2 linked regions of the Lonchura striata genome follow. The main gene of each other region encodes a partner of the protein of the gene in region 2 in a complex. Links are inferred from orthologs where the notes say so. Each region holds a gene or a part of one and is shown on either strand. Other genes may lie near its edges.

The links.
Region 1: the proteins of FBXL5 (region 2) and IREB2 are in contact, whole or in part, in a cryo-EM structure (PDB 6VCD), measured with the Homo sapiens proteins. The link is inferred for Lonchura striata from reciprocal best matches to the Homo sapiens genes FBXL5 and IREB2. Residues at the interface, in NP_036293.1 of Homo sapiens: Asp656, Glu657, Tyr661, Cys662, Asp663, Asn664, Ile665, His669, Ala670, Asp671, Thr672, Ala673, Ser674, Gly675, Cys676, Gln677, Asn678, Leu679, Gln680, Cys687, Arg688, Ser689, Gly690, Glu691; in NP_004127.2 of Homo sapiens: Asp89, Phe90, Ser129, Asn217, Val220, Glu221, Arg224, Arg228, Ala758, Gly759, Ser760, Arg763, Asn764, Thr777, Pro778, Arg779, Asn782, Ser783, Tyr784, Gly785, Ala786, Arg788.

Annotation. Positions count from the first base shown.
Region 1 is NC_134613.1:4,460,809-4,468,693, forward strand, and holds the start of IREB2 (iron-responsive element-binding protein 2), read left to right. Parts: upstream 1-4,803; 5' UTR 4,804-5,012; coding exon 5,013-5,031; intron 5,032-5,629; coding exon 5,630-5,719; intron 5,720-7,885. UniProt on the Homo sapiens protein: RNA-binding protein that binds to iron-responsive elements (IRES), which are stem-loop structures found in the 5'-UTR of ferritin, and delta aminolevulinic acid synthase mRNAs, and in the 3'-UTR of transferrin receptor mRNA.
Region 2 is NC_134606.1:15,166,672-15,174,688, forward strand, and holds the start of FBXL5 (F-box/LRR-repeat protein 5), read right to left. Parts: upstream 3,023-8,017; 5' UTR 2,944-3,022; coding exon 2,860-2,943; intron 1-2,859. Other genes in the region: BST1 (ADP-ribosyl cyclase/cyclic ADP-ribose hydrolase 2), read left to right, coding at 6,982-7,151.

The sequences.
Region 1 (7,885 bases), on a different chromosome or scaffold from region 2:
TCTTGTTGAGAAGGATGGATAAATATAATTATTCATAAATAATACAGCCAGGATGAGAACAGTCCTCCCTGCTGGCTGGACAATGCCCTTACCTACAGGTAAGTCCAAAAATCAAGTGGACTGTTCCATCTCACCCCCCAAAATGTATGGTTGACCTCGCACCTGTAACCCTCCCCTAAAACATCAAGTGCCTGTAAACCCATTGGCCCAAGTCTTTTCCAGCCAAACTTGAAGCCCCCTGATAAGGGGTCTCCGGGGGGCCAGACGCTCTCTTGGAACTTCCCCTCCTCTTAGGACCTCCACCCTCTCCTAGAGCATCCTCTTGTCTCTCCCCCATCCCCTCAAGCCTTGACACGTGCTGCGTCTGGCAGCCCCAAGCAAGACCTTTCTGCATCCCTAATAAACCTGATATCCTAAGAGCAGCCTTCAGAGATCTCTTGTCTCCATTCATCTAAACCGTCCTGGAGCACAGCGCTCCCTACAGTCTCTCCTTGTGGACCTGGGCTTCCCACCTCCAGTAAAAGTGTGTTTGACATTATTTAGGCAGAATGTTTTCTGCTCCCACAGATTTTTCTCCTAGTATGCCTCATAGGTCTATGGAACTCTTACCCAGTGCTGACTTGAGGACCATTTTCTCAGACAGAGGATACCATGTTCCTAGCTCACAGTGTTGACAATTTGTAGGAAGGAGGGGTATGGTTTTGAGTGGTCATCAGCTTCAAGAGTTGGGGATTATCTTGCTAAAAGTCTCAAACAGTTCACTATATTAAGAAGTCCTGAGTACACCTCCAACACCTCTCTGTCCTTTGGGTCACAATGACTGAGCTCAAAGCACAACTTGCTGCAAGCCACATCCCACATCTCCAGAAAACAAAGAGGCTTGTCCTGCTGTGGATGTTTCTGTGGATGACTGAGGATTGTCAGATGTGGATGAGCTGTCATCATATTAGATACAGTTAATAGCAACCAGCAGTTAAAAGGAGTTTCACCACCATCCATACTTATGCACTCGGGAAGTGCATTGCATAGTGCTGAAGGGTGTTTCTTAATGATTGTTCTTACCAACTGTCAGTAAATCCCCTAAATTGCTTTCTTGTGGATGTATGCAGTGTGTTCCCTGCTGCCATCCCTCTCTGAAGGAATGAAGCTCTTGGCCCTCTGCAGCTGGGATGCACCCAGCAGTGATGCCCAGCATTCCACCCCCACTACAAACTGCACCCCCCCACACCTTCTTTCCTGCAGGTGTGAGAAATGCCCCTACTGGTACTTGCCAAATGAAGTTTTCTCCTGCAGTGAGTGAGGAAAGAAAGCCATTTGGCTCTCCAGAACCCAAGCACATGGCAGGTGACCACTGCCTTCCTGAGAAGGAAAACATTTGTTCCCAGAGGCCAGCAGTGCCTGAGCTTGCAAAAAATCCTGAGGTAAGAAAGCTGAACTGTGCCTCCCATCTCCCTTTCCAGCAGCGTTGAGGAAAGAAGGCAACAGACGCCATCCATTTAAAACAAGCGTGTCAGTAACAACCACAGCCTGAACCAAACCAGATGTGATCTCTAGGGCTGTTAAGCCTGATACTGCACAGACTGCTCTAAGAACTGGGTAGTGTAGCTTGAGATTCCCCAGTTGCTTGTTGCACTTCCTGAAATGAAGACCTCAGGCTCACAACTCAGAGTTCAATTAATATGCCATCAGCACAAAAGAGTCCTTCTTCTTCCTGACATCTCTGGGAAAAGACTTTGCACTCATTTAGACTCTGTTAACTAACTAGAAAAGGCTTTTTTTCAAGCTCCCTAATGATACAGGAGGCTCAACAGTGCTGCAACCTGAAAATAGGTGCCTGGCTTCAGATTAGCCAAAGTTCAGCATCCTATTCCTCTGTTAGATGATTGGAAGTAAGCATGTTTACTGAATTTCGCTCTTGGTACTAATGAACTCCTCACAGCAAGTCTGTTCTCCCAAACACAGTTTCTGCAGGATACTGTACACAAGCACTTCTCTCACATGTAAAAATCATCTTGAACACCTTTCCTCCACTTGGAGAAGAAAATGTACTGAGCTCAGAAATAAGTTTTGAAAATTTGAGCCTCTTCATATACCCAACTTTAGAACAGCTCATGTGCTATCTCTAGATATTCATGAGACAGCATTATCATCTGATTTACTAAGAGTTTGCTGAATGCTGGGAGGGACTTGTAGAAGGGTGTTAGAGTTGTGTACTTCTGTTTGAATGGCAGCTCTTGTAAGAAGAGATTGAAACTGATTTTTTTATTTTCTGAGTGCCAGCACTTTAGATGAAAAATTATGACAGCAACTTCAATTGCCAGCAGTGAATCAATTAATAAACACCAGTCTGAGATAACAAATATTCAGGGTATGAGAAATTTAGTGGAGCCTTAGCATGAGTAAGGAACTTGACTTTTAGTGTCTTTCATGACAGGGGCTCACACAGCACACACTTGTTGCCATACCCTTGTGTCAAGAAATGCTTTTTCCTTTGGCAGTTATCAATCTACTTACTTTGACATAAGGGACAAAAAAGCAAAGCTTACATTCATATTCTTGAAGATGACATGGTAGCACTGAGGATACTGTATTTTAAAAAATTAATTTACAGAAGCAAAGATTGTATCTTAGACCATGTGGTGTCAAAACTAAATATTCAGTCATGTTCTTACTGAAGTATCCAATCTGCCATGTTCTTAGTTTACATCTCACCTAATTCCTGTGGCTTTGCTGCTGTGGCACAAGACACAGGAGAATGCGACCACTTGATTTTCTTACAAATTGTGCAATCTGAATTTTACAAACCTTTGTTTCAGTTTGTTACTGAAATGTGACAATGTCAAAATATCTTTGTGATCTTTTTAATCAGCTGCCCCAACTTTGACTATGCTTAGATATTGTGTCTTACCCACTCTGTACCTTCACCTGTGGATTTTAGACTCGATGGACTGACCTAAATTTCTTAAATAAATATTCTAAAGAGGTTTCTCAAATTTTCTTTCTAAATCTCATGTATTCATTCAATTGGAAGAAAATGAGGTTGCTGTGTTATTTTTTCCATCTATAGGTAGTTATGTACAGTTTTACTCCTTTCCTCTAAAGATGTCTCACTGCCTCACAAGAGCAGTGTAAGATTTAGTGCATCTAAGCTTCAAGTACAGCAGTCATATGGAAGCCAGGATTAGAAGCAGTTTGATTCAAAGGGCTGTACTTCAAACTCCTGCATCAACCTGCTTCTCCTGCAGAGGAATGGATGCTGTGGATGTTGTTTGGTTGTCACTGCTATTGCCTTTCTTCTGTCTTCATAGGGAAAACAGAGGAAAACAAAAGAAGGGCACAACTACAAAAGCTGTGTCTTGCACTACACTGGGTTCCCTCCAGCTTGCTGTGGTCTCTTTTGTGTGACAGTGCTGTGGAACACAGACCTGAGAGCAATATTTAGCTCAGCTTTTTCCACAGCAAAACTGCTTTCTCTGTTTAACAGCTGAAATATGGTGAACAGCAATATTGAAATTCTTTCTAATGGAGTGACTGCCTTTCACACAAGTAGCATAACATAATTCCCTCTTACTCACATTCTCTTCTTCACTAAGACTCTGCTTAGCCTGCTTCTGTCAGCTCTAATTACAAACCAGCGATAAACCATCCTCGCTTTCTTCTGGATAAGTTCTCCCTTGAATTTGACTTATTTCAGGATGTCAGATGCCAGTTGGGAAATGGAAAATACATTCTGGAAACTTCAAAACCTTCGTTCCTAGACAGTTACACATTTCCTTAAGGGACTTAATTCTAGAAGAATCACACAAAAAATAGTAAGCAGAACAGTGCAGTAGCTCAGGTGGTTATAAGCAAAAAGAAAGTTTTCAGTATAAAATGAAAGCCAAACATTGTGTTAAAACCAAATACATATGCAATTTGCTTTCCAAGAATCTGTCTGGTATGTAGGAAGGACACAAACCTCTAAATATTTAGGGTTAAAGGATTTCACATGTGAGCAAGAAATACTCCATGCTGCCTAAGATTCCTTCCTCTGGATGTGCCTGACACACAGAAGTCAGCCTTCAGCCAGCAAAGGGAGATAACCAGCAGCCGTTTATTCACTGGCATCCTGAGGACTGAGCCCGGCGAGCTGGGGTGTCTTTGGCAAAGGAGAACAACTGGTGAGTGATGGTTCGGCACATCCCTGGACTTGATGATCTCAGAAGTCTCTTCCAACCTCGTTATTCTGTGATTCTGTGTTCCGGGCGTTGCTGCTGGGCCCGCAGGCTCCGCAGGGCTCCGCTGGGCGCTGCCCCGCCCCGAGTGCGAGCTGCGAGCTGCGGGGCCAGGCTGGCAGGGAGGAGGCGCTGCGGGAGCTCGCAACGCGTTCCGCTACCTGAAAGGGTCCTACAGGGAAGGTGGGCAGGAACTATGGTGATAGGACAAGGGGGAATGGGTACAAATTCAAAAGGGGAAATTTAGATGAGATGTTAGGAAGACATTCTTTACTGTGAGGGTGGAGAGGCGCTGGAACACGCTTTCCAGGGACACTGTGTATGCATCGTCCCTGGAAGCGTTCAACGTCAGGTCGGATGGAGCTTAAAATGGGAGCGTATGATCCTTCGGGCGCAACCGCGCCCCTCGGCCTCGCGCCGAGCGGCGGCCGCAGCGCCGCGGGGCCGCGCCCGGGGCTGGGTCCGGCCGGGCCCGGGAGCCCCCGAGCCCCGCCCGCCCCGGCCCCGCGCGGCCACGCCCCCTCACTGTCCCGCCCCCGGCGCGTCCCGGCCGGCAGCTCCGCCCGCGCGCTCGTCACTGTTATCGCGAGAGCAGCGGCTGCCCGCTCCCGGCTACTTCCGCCCTCTCCGCCAAGCCTCGCGCGATCTCGTGCCCTTTCCTCCTGAGCAGGGCGCACAGTCTCGCGAGAGCGCGGCGTGCTGCGGCCGCGGGGTGGGGCGCCGGGCGCAGTCTCGCGAGAGCTGCCGGCCCGCCGGCGCCCCCCGGCCCGCTCCCTCGCGCTGACATGGTCGCCGGCGATGGACCCTCCCAGAGCAGGTCGGTCACCGCGGGGACGGCCCACGCCCCCGCCCGCCGCGACACCGCGGCCCGGGACATCGCCTCGCCGCCGAACGGCGCCGTACCGGGCCACGGGAGTCCCTGCGGGGGACAGCGGGCCCGTCCCCGCCCCGCTGTCTGCTCTCTCCCGGGGGTTATTTACTCCGAGCACCTAATGGCTGCTACGAGCTTTATTTTCGTGTCTTGTTCCCTTGACGTTGGCTTGGCAGTCAATGCTTTGTGCTTCCTGCTGTATTAAAACCCGTGTCTCTTATCTGCGCTGGTGAGGTGTCTGATCCTGTGTGTAGATGGCAAACTGAGACAACAAAGGTCAGGTGTGTTCAGGCTGTGCTGGCGACCTGCACTGACCTGCATGTACCTACTATCAGTGCTGCTTTTAAAATTCACCTTAGTCACACATCTACCTCACGAGGTATCTCAATCCGTTTAGAAACCTTTCCGTGTTGCTTCTAATTACAGTCTAGAGAAACGTTATTTCTGGCAGAATGAGAAGTAAAATCTCTTTTTGTGAATCCTCAGTCAGCGCTGAAACCACCCGTTGTTTTGTGGCTGTAACTCTGGTTGTTTCGTCCCGCAGGAAGCCCTTACCAGCCCGCCATTGAAGCTTTGCAAAGCCACCCAGAGAAAAAGTTTTACAATGTGTCGAAGCTCGGAGGCGCCAAGTACGGTACGATGCTCTCCGGGGTAATCGGGGTGGTACCAGCCGCAAGCTGCACCACTGGTGCCCTGCGGTGGCAGGAGATGCAGTCGGGAATTTCTAATGGGTGTGTTTGGAAGCTGATGATATCCCGATTTCTTAGTGTTTTAAGGAGTTTGCAGGGGTAATACTTGTAGATCTTATTTACTAAGGGAGAAAGTGCAGGTCTTTCTGCAGTTTTCAACAGTATTCCAAATCAGAAGAATTACTCACTTTGGAAAAAAAAAAATTAAGTGACAAAGAACTCTAATGCTTCCAAAATAAATGCAGCTTTTTCTGTAGTTCTGTATAGCTTCATGGTGTTCTAGTTTCTCCTCCCCAGCAGCCTCACATAGTGGGTGACTGCCAGAACATGGCTCCTGCTGCAGGGTGAGGTTTAGTGGTGCTCACGCTGTTGCTTAATCTCAGCTTGTCATTAGTATGCAATGGCTGTCTGTGCCAGTGAGACCTTCATCGGGTCTCTGTGTCCAAGTGCTTTTCACAGTGTTGCACGTGTGGTGGGAGGGGAGTCCACACCGGGAGGGAGCTTTGCTCGCTGCCAGCTGGAACGGCTTTAGTCTTGCAGGTAATCAAAGCATGCTGGCATTATTCTCTCCCTTTGTCTTCATGTTAAACTGAACTACTTATATGGGCTACTTCGTAAAGGCACTTGGGCTATTTTTTTTTTCCAGTTTTGCAAGGTCTGAATCTTCTATATTCACAGAATTTGTGCTATGCTTCTTGAATTAAAAAAAAAAAAATCATTGGATATTTCACTTTAAACCCATATTTGAACACAATTATTAATTCCATGTTGTTTAAAGAGAATGGGGGGGGGTACAGCTGTGTGCTCTTGCAATTTTTCCCTGCTTGTAGTAAAAAAGTCAGTCTTTCAAATAAGCACACATGGAGGAAACAGTGCTTGGTCCAGGAAGAAGCAGTGCTGTGCTAGTAACAAAACCAGGCAGTTCTACAGCAGTTTTGTGGAAAGCCTCATGACAGGAGTGGAACTAAAACAATATACAACTTTCTGCTGCTTGCAGTAGCAATGGGTATTCCTGAACATACTGTCAGGAATCTAAACAGACTGTGCTAACAGGGTCCTTGTCTTCCAATAGAAACTTCTGTGCAGAAGCTGGAAGCCTCATGTTAGCTTCAAGGTAGCAAAATACTAAATAACATCTAGACATGGGACAGCACTGGTAACAAATCGAGCATCTGGAATTGCTCACTGCATTTGTTGCTAGAACAGTTTGAGTTTTACCTGTCTGGCTGTAATTTGACATTAATTGCCGGTTTATATTAATCAGATTACTAATGTAAATGTTAATTGGTTTAGTTACCAGTTTTCTAGTGTTTTAAGACTTACGGAGAAAATGAGAAGAGCTCAAAAGGATTTAGGGCAGAGAGGACATGTGGAGATTTAGACCAGGCTCTTGCTGGGGCTGGAGCTCATGTGGGGAATCTTCCATGATTAAGCTGTGCCAGTCTGGGAGGACAGAGATTCCACTGCCTCCATGGTACTGTGCCTGTCCGTGCTGCTTTTCCCTCGTGCCCAGTGCCCGTGTCCCTTCCTGCGCTGCTGCGAAGTCCCGCCTCCCCCTGGCTGCGGGCCCGGGAGGCCCGGTCAGATCTGCCGTCCCCGGGGGCTCGCCAGCCAGCGCTGCCTGCAGCTCCTGTGTCCGGCAGTCCCGGCGGCTCCCAAGGGCCCTGTGCCGGGTGTCATCTCATGGCTGGAGCTGTCCTGTACCCTGGAAGCCCCAGACTGCTCTGTGTTGCACATAGGACCTGCTGGTGCAGTGCGATTTTTTAACCCACAAGAAAGCAAACAAGTTCTTCTCTGGGAATCTGGCTTTTAAATCAAGAGAGTGGGGGCATGAAGGTTCATGAGACCTTTTGGATGACATCTTTATACTCAAATTTAATCAAATCTTAAACTCAAAATAGCGACTTGTCTAATTAGACAATAGTGGATATTATCTCACAAAGACACAGTGAAAACAGAGTCAGCAAGTTCTATAGTAGTTTGTGAACAATCAATTAAATTAGGCTGAGACCACTAAATTTATTTTTTTTTTATTAAAGCCAGAACTTAATTATTTCTCATTCCTTCCCTAACTTTCCTTAGGATTTCTCACTGTTCTTACGAAGCTAACT
Region 2 (8,017 bases):
ACGTGATGAAGCAGAATGAATCTGTTTGCTGAAGCCAGAGAACATAACTAAGATGGAGGACACAGCCACAATTGCAAATCGGCACAAGATCTTTCTGCAAACTAAGAACGGTTCACTAGAGATGGGAAAACAGAATCTGCTCTATTTGTAGCAAAGATGACGTAAGGCATTAGGACAAGCATTTCAGTTATACAGACTGTCTGCTGTAGCACTCCACTACCTACAGGGGGGACATCCTCACAACACTTAACGAATTTTCTTCTCACTAGAGTAGGAGACAGATTTGGCAACAGTGTGGATCTCCTTATTAAACATAATTCTAATTACTCATATTATCCAAGTCCAGGGCAGTGTATGCAACACAGGTAAAAATGCCATTTAAGAATGCAGCAAGGGACAGGGAGATCTTCACTAGCAACAGCTAAAAGCGTAGCTAAAGCACTAAACAGCTTAAATTCCAATTTAACTGTTCTGTCTCACATGAAGTCCTGGAAGAACAAAATAAACTGTGTATCTCTGTCCTAAAGGATTATTTAAGTTCCTATGTACTTTATCCATTGGAAACAATGTAATTGTTCTCCTGAGAAGCAAAGATGGATGACCCCATGTCACCCTTATTAATATTCTGTGGAATTTACTTCATTCAGACACAAGCAGCAACTATATGACAGTGTGCAGAGAACCCAATGAACACAGATAATATGTAATTCACAACATTAAAGAACCCTCAAGGTCAAACTAAACTTATCCAGAGCATGGCTTTAGAGATTACACCTGCCATGTAAGCAGAACTACAGACTTACCTAATTGCAGCATCACAATCACACAAGAAGGAAATTCAAAAACTGGAAGTTTTTCTGGTGCAAAGCTGGCATTATAAAAACTCACAGTCAAGGCACACACCTCAACTTCTGCAACAGGGTTAAAGGACGTAAAACTGAACACTTTTCAAAAAAAGTGACATTCATTCAGGCTTGCTCTTATTCAAAAGAAAAAGGGAGCAAGAAAATTCCTGTATAAAAACTTTTATAAAATGAAAGGTTATGAACATTACAAATAGTTTTATCAAATTTTTCAATATTCAGGAAAACCAGTAATTGCTCCCCAGGAAGTTTTAGTAGGCATGGTAAACTTGGGTCAAAACTTTGTGGGAGGCTCAATAAAAGTGATAAAAATGCCTCTCTAGGAACAAAACCTAAGTGACTACAAGATCTGGATGTTTAAATGAAACCTGTTCAGCTACTGTCAACAACACACTGAAACAGCTACCAGAAGTCAGTGGGGGTGTTTGTTTCCATTCAAATAAAATCCACTCTGTTATGATACCACAATTTTTTCTGCTGCCGCAGATTCAGTTGATTGCAAATATACTCTCAAATAAAAAGCAAAGTGAAGGAAACTATATAAGGACATCGCTTCTGCTCCTCCTAGACTCTATGTCCAGTTAGCAAATCCTGCAAAAAACAGCTCTAGGTTTTCTTTAACCTATTATCAAATGGAAGAGGCACACCAAAGGATCTGGTGAATCCCAGAGCAGTGCAAGGTGCCATGTGGAAACAGGGAAGCATGAACTCCCCCATGCTGCTGGCAGCAGTAAACTATGGTAACTGCCTCTCATGCAACTGCACCGCTCTTTTAAATGTCTGTAGCCAATCTGGCTTCTCCAAACAGCCATTTATGCCCGGAGATGGGAGGCAAAACTTCTTGCAGTAGGAGTGCTGGCTGTGAAGTATTCGCCCAAAACCCTCCTACAACACTCAAAGCTGCTACAGGGAAGTTTGTCTTTCAGGTGACACATCAGCCTTGATTATTTAACTACCGTGATGCAAGAATAAAAATTACTTTTGTCCATGACCAAAATTACATATATTTAAAATAAAAGAACGTACCTAGGGTACCTTTACGCCACTCACCAGCAGAAGGCTGCGCACAGACCCGCAAGCACAGTCCCGCGCCCTGCCTGCCTGGCAAACGCTGCCGGGCCGCGCTGCCCGGGCGGGAGCGCCGGGCCGGGGGGCTCTGCCGGGCCCGGGGGGCTCTGCCGGGCCCGGGGGGCTCTGCCGGGCCCGGGGGGCTCTGCCGGGCTGCCCGGGGGGCTCTGCCGGGCTGCCCGGGGGGCTCTGCCGGGCCCGGGGGGCTCTGCCGGGCCCGGGGGGCTCTGCCGGGCCCGGGGGGCTCTGCCGGGCTGCCCGGGGGGCTCTGCCGGGCTGCCCGGGGGGCTCTGCCGGGCTGCCCGGGGGGCTCTGCCGGGCCCGGGGGGCTCTGCCGGGCTGCCCGGGGGGCTCTGCCGGGCCCGGGGGGCTCTGCCGGGCTGCCCGGGGGGCTCTGCCGGGCTGCCCGGGGGGCTCTGCCGGGCTGCCCGGGGGGCTCTGCCGGGCCCGGGGGGCTCTGCCGGGCTGCCCGGGGGGCTCTGCCGGGCTGCCCGGGGGGCTCTGCCGGGCCCGGGGGGCTCTGCCGGGCTGCCCGGGGGGCTCTGCCGGGCCCGGGGGGCTCTGCCGGGCCCGGGGGGCTCTGCCGGGCCCGGGGGGCTCTGCCGGGCTGCCCGGGGGGCTCTGCCGGGCCCGGGGGGCTCTGCCGGGCTGCCCGGGGGGCTCTGCCGGGCTGCCCGGGCGGGGGCGCGTTCCCTGAGCGGCACCACCGCCCCTCCGAGCGGGACACGGCTCCTGCCGGCCGGCCCGGCACGGCAGCCAGGGCAGCCTCAGCCCTGCGCGGCCGCGGAGCGGCACCGGCAGCCCGTGAGGCGCTCAGGAACCCCTCGGCAGCGCAGGGCAGAAGTTACCGGCGGGGCCAGGGCGCTGACAGCTACGCACTCCCCAAACCCTCCCTCCCGCCCCGGGGCAGCGGCGCGGGGCCCGCTACCTTGTCGCAGTAGAGTCCCACGAGCTGCTTCATGCGCCAGTGCGGGGCGGAGAACACGTCCACCTCCTCGGGGAAGGGAGCCATGTTCTCCCCATGGAGCCGCGCCGCGAACGGCGGCGCGAACGGCGGCGCGAGCGTCCGCACCGCGCGTGCGCCCGCCCCGCGTGACCGCGGCCACCGCCCCGCGCGTGCGCGGCTGGCCCCGCCCCTTGCCGCGGGGCGCGGCGGCGCCGGGCCCGCCCGCCCGGGCCCCGCTGCGGAATGCGCTCCCGCCCGGGGGCACCGCGCTGGGCCCGTCCCGGCGAGCTGCAGCGCTGTGTGACTTCACACCCGATGCCTTGGCAGCGCCAGGGTGGCAGCTTGTGGATGTAAAAAGCACTTACAGAATCAGTCGGGTTGGAAAAGACCTCTGGGGTCATGGGCTCCAGCCCCTGACCGAGCACCTTGTCTGCTAGACCACGGCACCGAGTGCCACGTCGTCTTTCCTTAAAGACGCCTCCGGGAATGGTGACTCCGTCACCTCCCACGGCAACCCATTCCGATGTCTAATCATCCTTCCTGTGAAGAAATTCTTCCTCATGTCCAACCTAGAACATCCCCTGGAGCAGTTTCAGACTGTGTCTTGTCCTATTGCTATTTGCCTGCGAGAATCGACCGACCCCTACCTGGCTACAAACTCCTCTCAGGTGTTTGCAGAGAGCATTGAGGTCCCCCTTGGTCTCCAGGCTAAACACCTGCAGCTCCCTCAGCTGCTCCTCACAGGACTTGTGCTTTGCTGCCCTTCTCTGGACATGCTCAAGCACCTCAGTGTCCTTCCTGAACTGGGGGGCACAGAGCTGGACACAGGATTTGCAGTGTGACCTCATCAAGAAGGTCCTAGGCAAGTTATTTGTATCTGCTGCAGCACGGAATCTGCACCCAACCTTTTGCAGCATTTGTGCCAAACAAGTAAAGTTAAGTGTGTTTGTTTAACTTCCAAGGCAAATGAACCAAAAACACCTGCCTATCATACTGATCTGCTTGTGCAACATTTCAAAGTAAGCAGGAACACTGGGCCAAGTTGAGATTGCACATCCATTTGACAAAATCTGTAACTGTCAACCAGCATGTAGTGTTGTAAAACTGTTGACCAGCATTGCAATGTTCAGTAAATGTCACCAAAATTCTTTGTCAAACATACAATAGATGCAGCAGGCCTTTCTGACTGAAAACTGAACAAAGTCTATGTTGCAGATATTAAACGTATTTGAGCTAGCGAGGTCATAGGTGTAAGCAATTCATTGTAAACATGTTGAAATATTTTCAGGAAAGTCATGTGAGTTTTTAGTCCGGTATTTCTCAACATACTAATGTTGGGAATAAAATGCTGGTAAAAGAAGTAAGTAGTGAACTAAGCAGAAGAGCTCACATTGTGTGTTACTTAGCTGACACTGTGCACAATAATCTCTTTATCTCTTTATCTAAGGAAATTAGTCCCAAGCAATTGCGGTACTGGGCGTTTCCTTTTCCATGAATCCTTTCCTCCTCGAAGGACTTTTGAACACACTGACCTACTTTGCCATATTTGCAAATATGCACGAAACTTGGAAGGTTAAATTCTTACAACTTTGGGTTGGGAAAAAAAAAAAGCAGGTTCCCAGGAGGGAAGAAAGGAAGGCAAAGCACAGGTGTTATGCAGCTGGCTAGCCAGCACACAGCTGTGTTTACAGCTTGGCAAGTGAGCAGAGCTCTGGGTTTGAGCTTGAGCATGTCTTTCATAGAGAGTGTGCCCTGGCACACAAGGGAGCAGGCGAGATCTTGTGTTACTGCTGTAGGTAGACTTAACACACTGAAGACACAAACCCTTAAGAAACAAAGTTTGAAGTTCATTGCTTACAGAGGAGCTTGTGAATATGAGGTTCTATTACCAGGCCTAAAGCATGTGGTCATGCAGAATTGAGGTTATTCTGCCAGAAATTCATGTGTGAGTAGTAACAGAGGATTAATGTTACTGTCTGTTACACCTTCCTACTGCTGGAACTTACCACTCCCCTGTGATAGAAATAACAGGAAAGAACATGTTGGCTCCTCATCTTCTGGGGTTCAGAATGTAAACATATGTTGAATTTCATGGTTGTTTGGATTAATATTGAGTCTGTGAACTACAGTATCTCCAGAGCAGATATGCTGCCAATTTTCTGACGTTTCTTCATGGGCAATAGCATCTTCTAGGAGAGAGGGACAGAGAGCGAGGAACAGTGATCTGCATCCACCATGAATTGCTAGACCTCAGGAGGCAAGATGGGCAGCCAGTTTGTGGCAGTGAATTGCAATACTACAAGAAAAAATACCTGATAAAGGGATTAAAATACTGAATTTTCATGGACTAGTTTAAGGGTAGACTTGGTAATTTTTTACAAGAATTTGCATGGAAGGATGGTTCTGATGATGGATTCTTCATTAATGTAACAGCAAAAGATATCATGAGATTCAGTGACTGGGAGCTAGAAGAAGATAAGTTCAGAGCTAAGGTTTTACTCTCAAGGTTATCAAACCACTGGAACCCTGCAGGTTGTTAATCTAGCCCTCATGTGAAGTATTTAGAACAAAACTAGAACACTAATTAAAAATGGCTGTGCTGAGTGGGATCAGAGGCCCTCTGGCCTGATGTTGTATTTCTAAAAGTTACCAGTGAGGAAAGGAAGCTTGATAGGAGTTGAAATGGGGTTCCCAACAACTCTTGGATCCAGTTCCTCTGGGATGTTATGACAGGTTGTCTATTTGTTAGGGAGCCCACATCTTCTTCCCCAAGGTGCTGTGTCCTAACCTAGTGTGTACTTGGAGAAACGTTCAGTGTCTATCTGTATGACTTCTTAACTTATACTGTATATTTCAAGCAAAAGTTCTAGCCTTGATGCAAAAATCAGTGACAATTTCTGCACATTTAAGATTCACATCACATTCTGGCTTCTGTTAGACCCTGAAATTACTGAGCAAAATTTGGTTGCAGCTAAGTTAATAATAAAATAAAATGTTCAGTGACTTCCATGGACTATTGCACTCTCTAATCCTGAATCCAAAATATTGGCTTGAAACCATTTGATTATTGTTCTGATGCCCTATCAGCATGGACATAGAGAGGTTAGGAAGAGAAATAGGAAGAAAAAACATTAGAGAAGCAACAGGTAGCAACCAATTGGCTATTTTTTGTCAGATTTATAGTAGAAATCCATCATCAGGAATTTACTCAATGATTAGCAAGATTTTTCCCTCAGCAAAATCCACCAGCTGAGTACCAGTGCATAAACAGAAGTGGGACACTACAGAAATAAGTACACAAGAAAGAAAGAAAGAAAGAAAGAAAGAAAGAAAGAAAGAAAGAAAAGAACCAGCATGCTCCTGAGAAATGTGAGTGCAAAAATACTTGGAGCTTGAATACAAAATACTTGGAGGTTGAATACAAAATACTTGGAGGTTGAATTTATTCTTTTAAGGTAAAAAACCCAATGTGGCTGTATTTACAGCAGTGTGTACCAGTGAATATTCTGAAGATTAGACTGATTGGTGCCTTTTGTTGTTCTAACAGAGTACTTAGGAGAAAGAACCTGGAGAAGAGTGACAGCAGAAGCTGAAGACATTTGTTCAGTGCACAAGATATAAGTTGTAATCCTTATGTTTCTCGTTATGATTGATTCATGACTGCAAGGCAGGTTTTTTTCACAAAGACATGGTGCACATATCATCACACCAAAATGTGTAGCACAGCAACGAGTATTAAGCGAACCAAAGGCATCCTAAGTATTGAAGTGGTAAGGGGTTTTTTTTCTTCCCTTTGCAGAGATATACTGCAATTCTCTTCAGTTATCACCAGGTGGCCTTCAAACTTTTTCGTTTTTTCTGAAGTGAGGAATAGTTTAGACACAAGGAAGTGATGTATCTCTGTGCTGCAATCGTTCCAGGAAATAGGTTATAGTTTCCAGCAAGGTTTTTTTTCCCGCTTTTGTCTTGTGTACTGAGTTGTAGCTAGTACTAAAAATATTAAACGTTCAGACTGCAGGTTTCCATTTAAATTGTATCATTGAACTCTACTTTTTTATTTCTTTGGGGTTTTTTCCTTTTAAGAATTTGGATTGTCAGGAATTCATGATGGTGAGCCTTTTTTATCCTCTTTTCTTTGTCTCTGTTCTCTGTATGAACAGCTTCTCAGGAGTGCAGGGAAAGAAATGGAAAGGTGAAGGTACTACTCAAAACCTGGAAAGTATTTTCATTGGAAGATGCTATGATTATATTAGAACTGTGAATCCTGCTGTTGGGTAAGTTTTGCTTGTTTCTGGATTATTTTTTTATGTTCTGTACAAATGGTTGTTAATCAGAAGTTTGATGTTATGCTTCTAGCAATGAAAGTGATCCTTTTGAAACCAACATGCTTGTAGCTGTCTGGAAACAACAAAATTACTTTGATAGATATCATGTTTTAATTAAAGTAGTGTAATTGGGGCAAGATTTTTAATCCTTCAATTCTTTATTTCACTTTTGATTGCCTCCCCCCCCATTACTTTCTGTAAAGAGAACAACACACAGAAATGACAGGGATGGTGTTTTGGAAGTGCCAAATCTAAGAGCACTCCTGGGAAGACCAGCTTTGCCTTGCATGCCTGTATGTCACATCATGTACAAAGGGGAGCACCTCACTTTATAGATATCCTTTGGTACTAAAGAAACCTGTTTAGCTCATCCACCTGAAAAATCAAGTACTAATCAACTGCTTAAGTAGGATTATCTGTGAGCTTCTATTGGCTGTGCTAATTATACAGAACTGGAGGTAAATCACACACTTTGCTAAAATGAGCACTTTTCTGATTCCTTGCTTTGTAAGGGCTTCAGTAAAAAGGAAGAAAATAAGAAGGACAATCTCCTGGAGTTCAGCCCTTTATTCTGCCATTAAAAAATTGCCCTAAAAGTGTGAAGAGGTATTTGTAGAGGGGCCCTATCTGGGTTCCTGTAGCATTAAATTGCTGTCTTAAAACAGGGTTAGATGATACTGCAAAAATCACCTCAATTGCCCAACCCCCCATTTTCAATTCCTGTTGCAAAAGAGGAAGATAAAGAACTTCAAACAAATTTTTCACTATTAACAAAGCCAAAACAATATACTTCTGCACAATAACACTCTTAACCT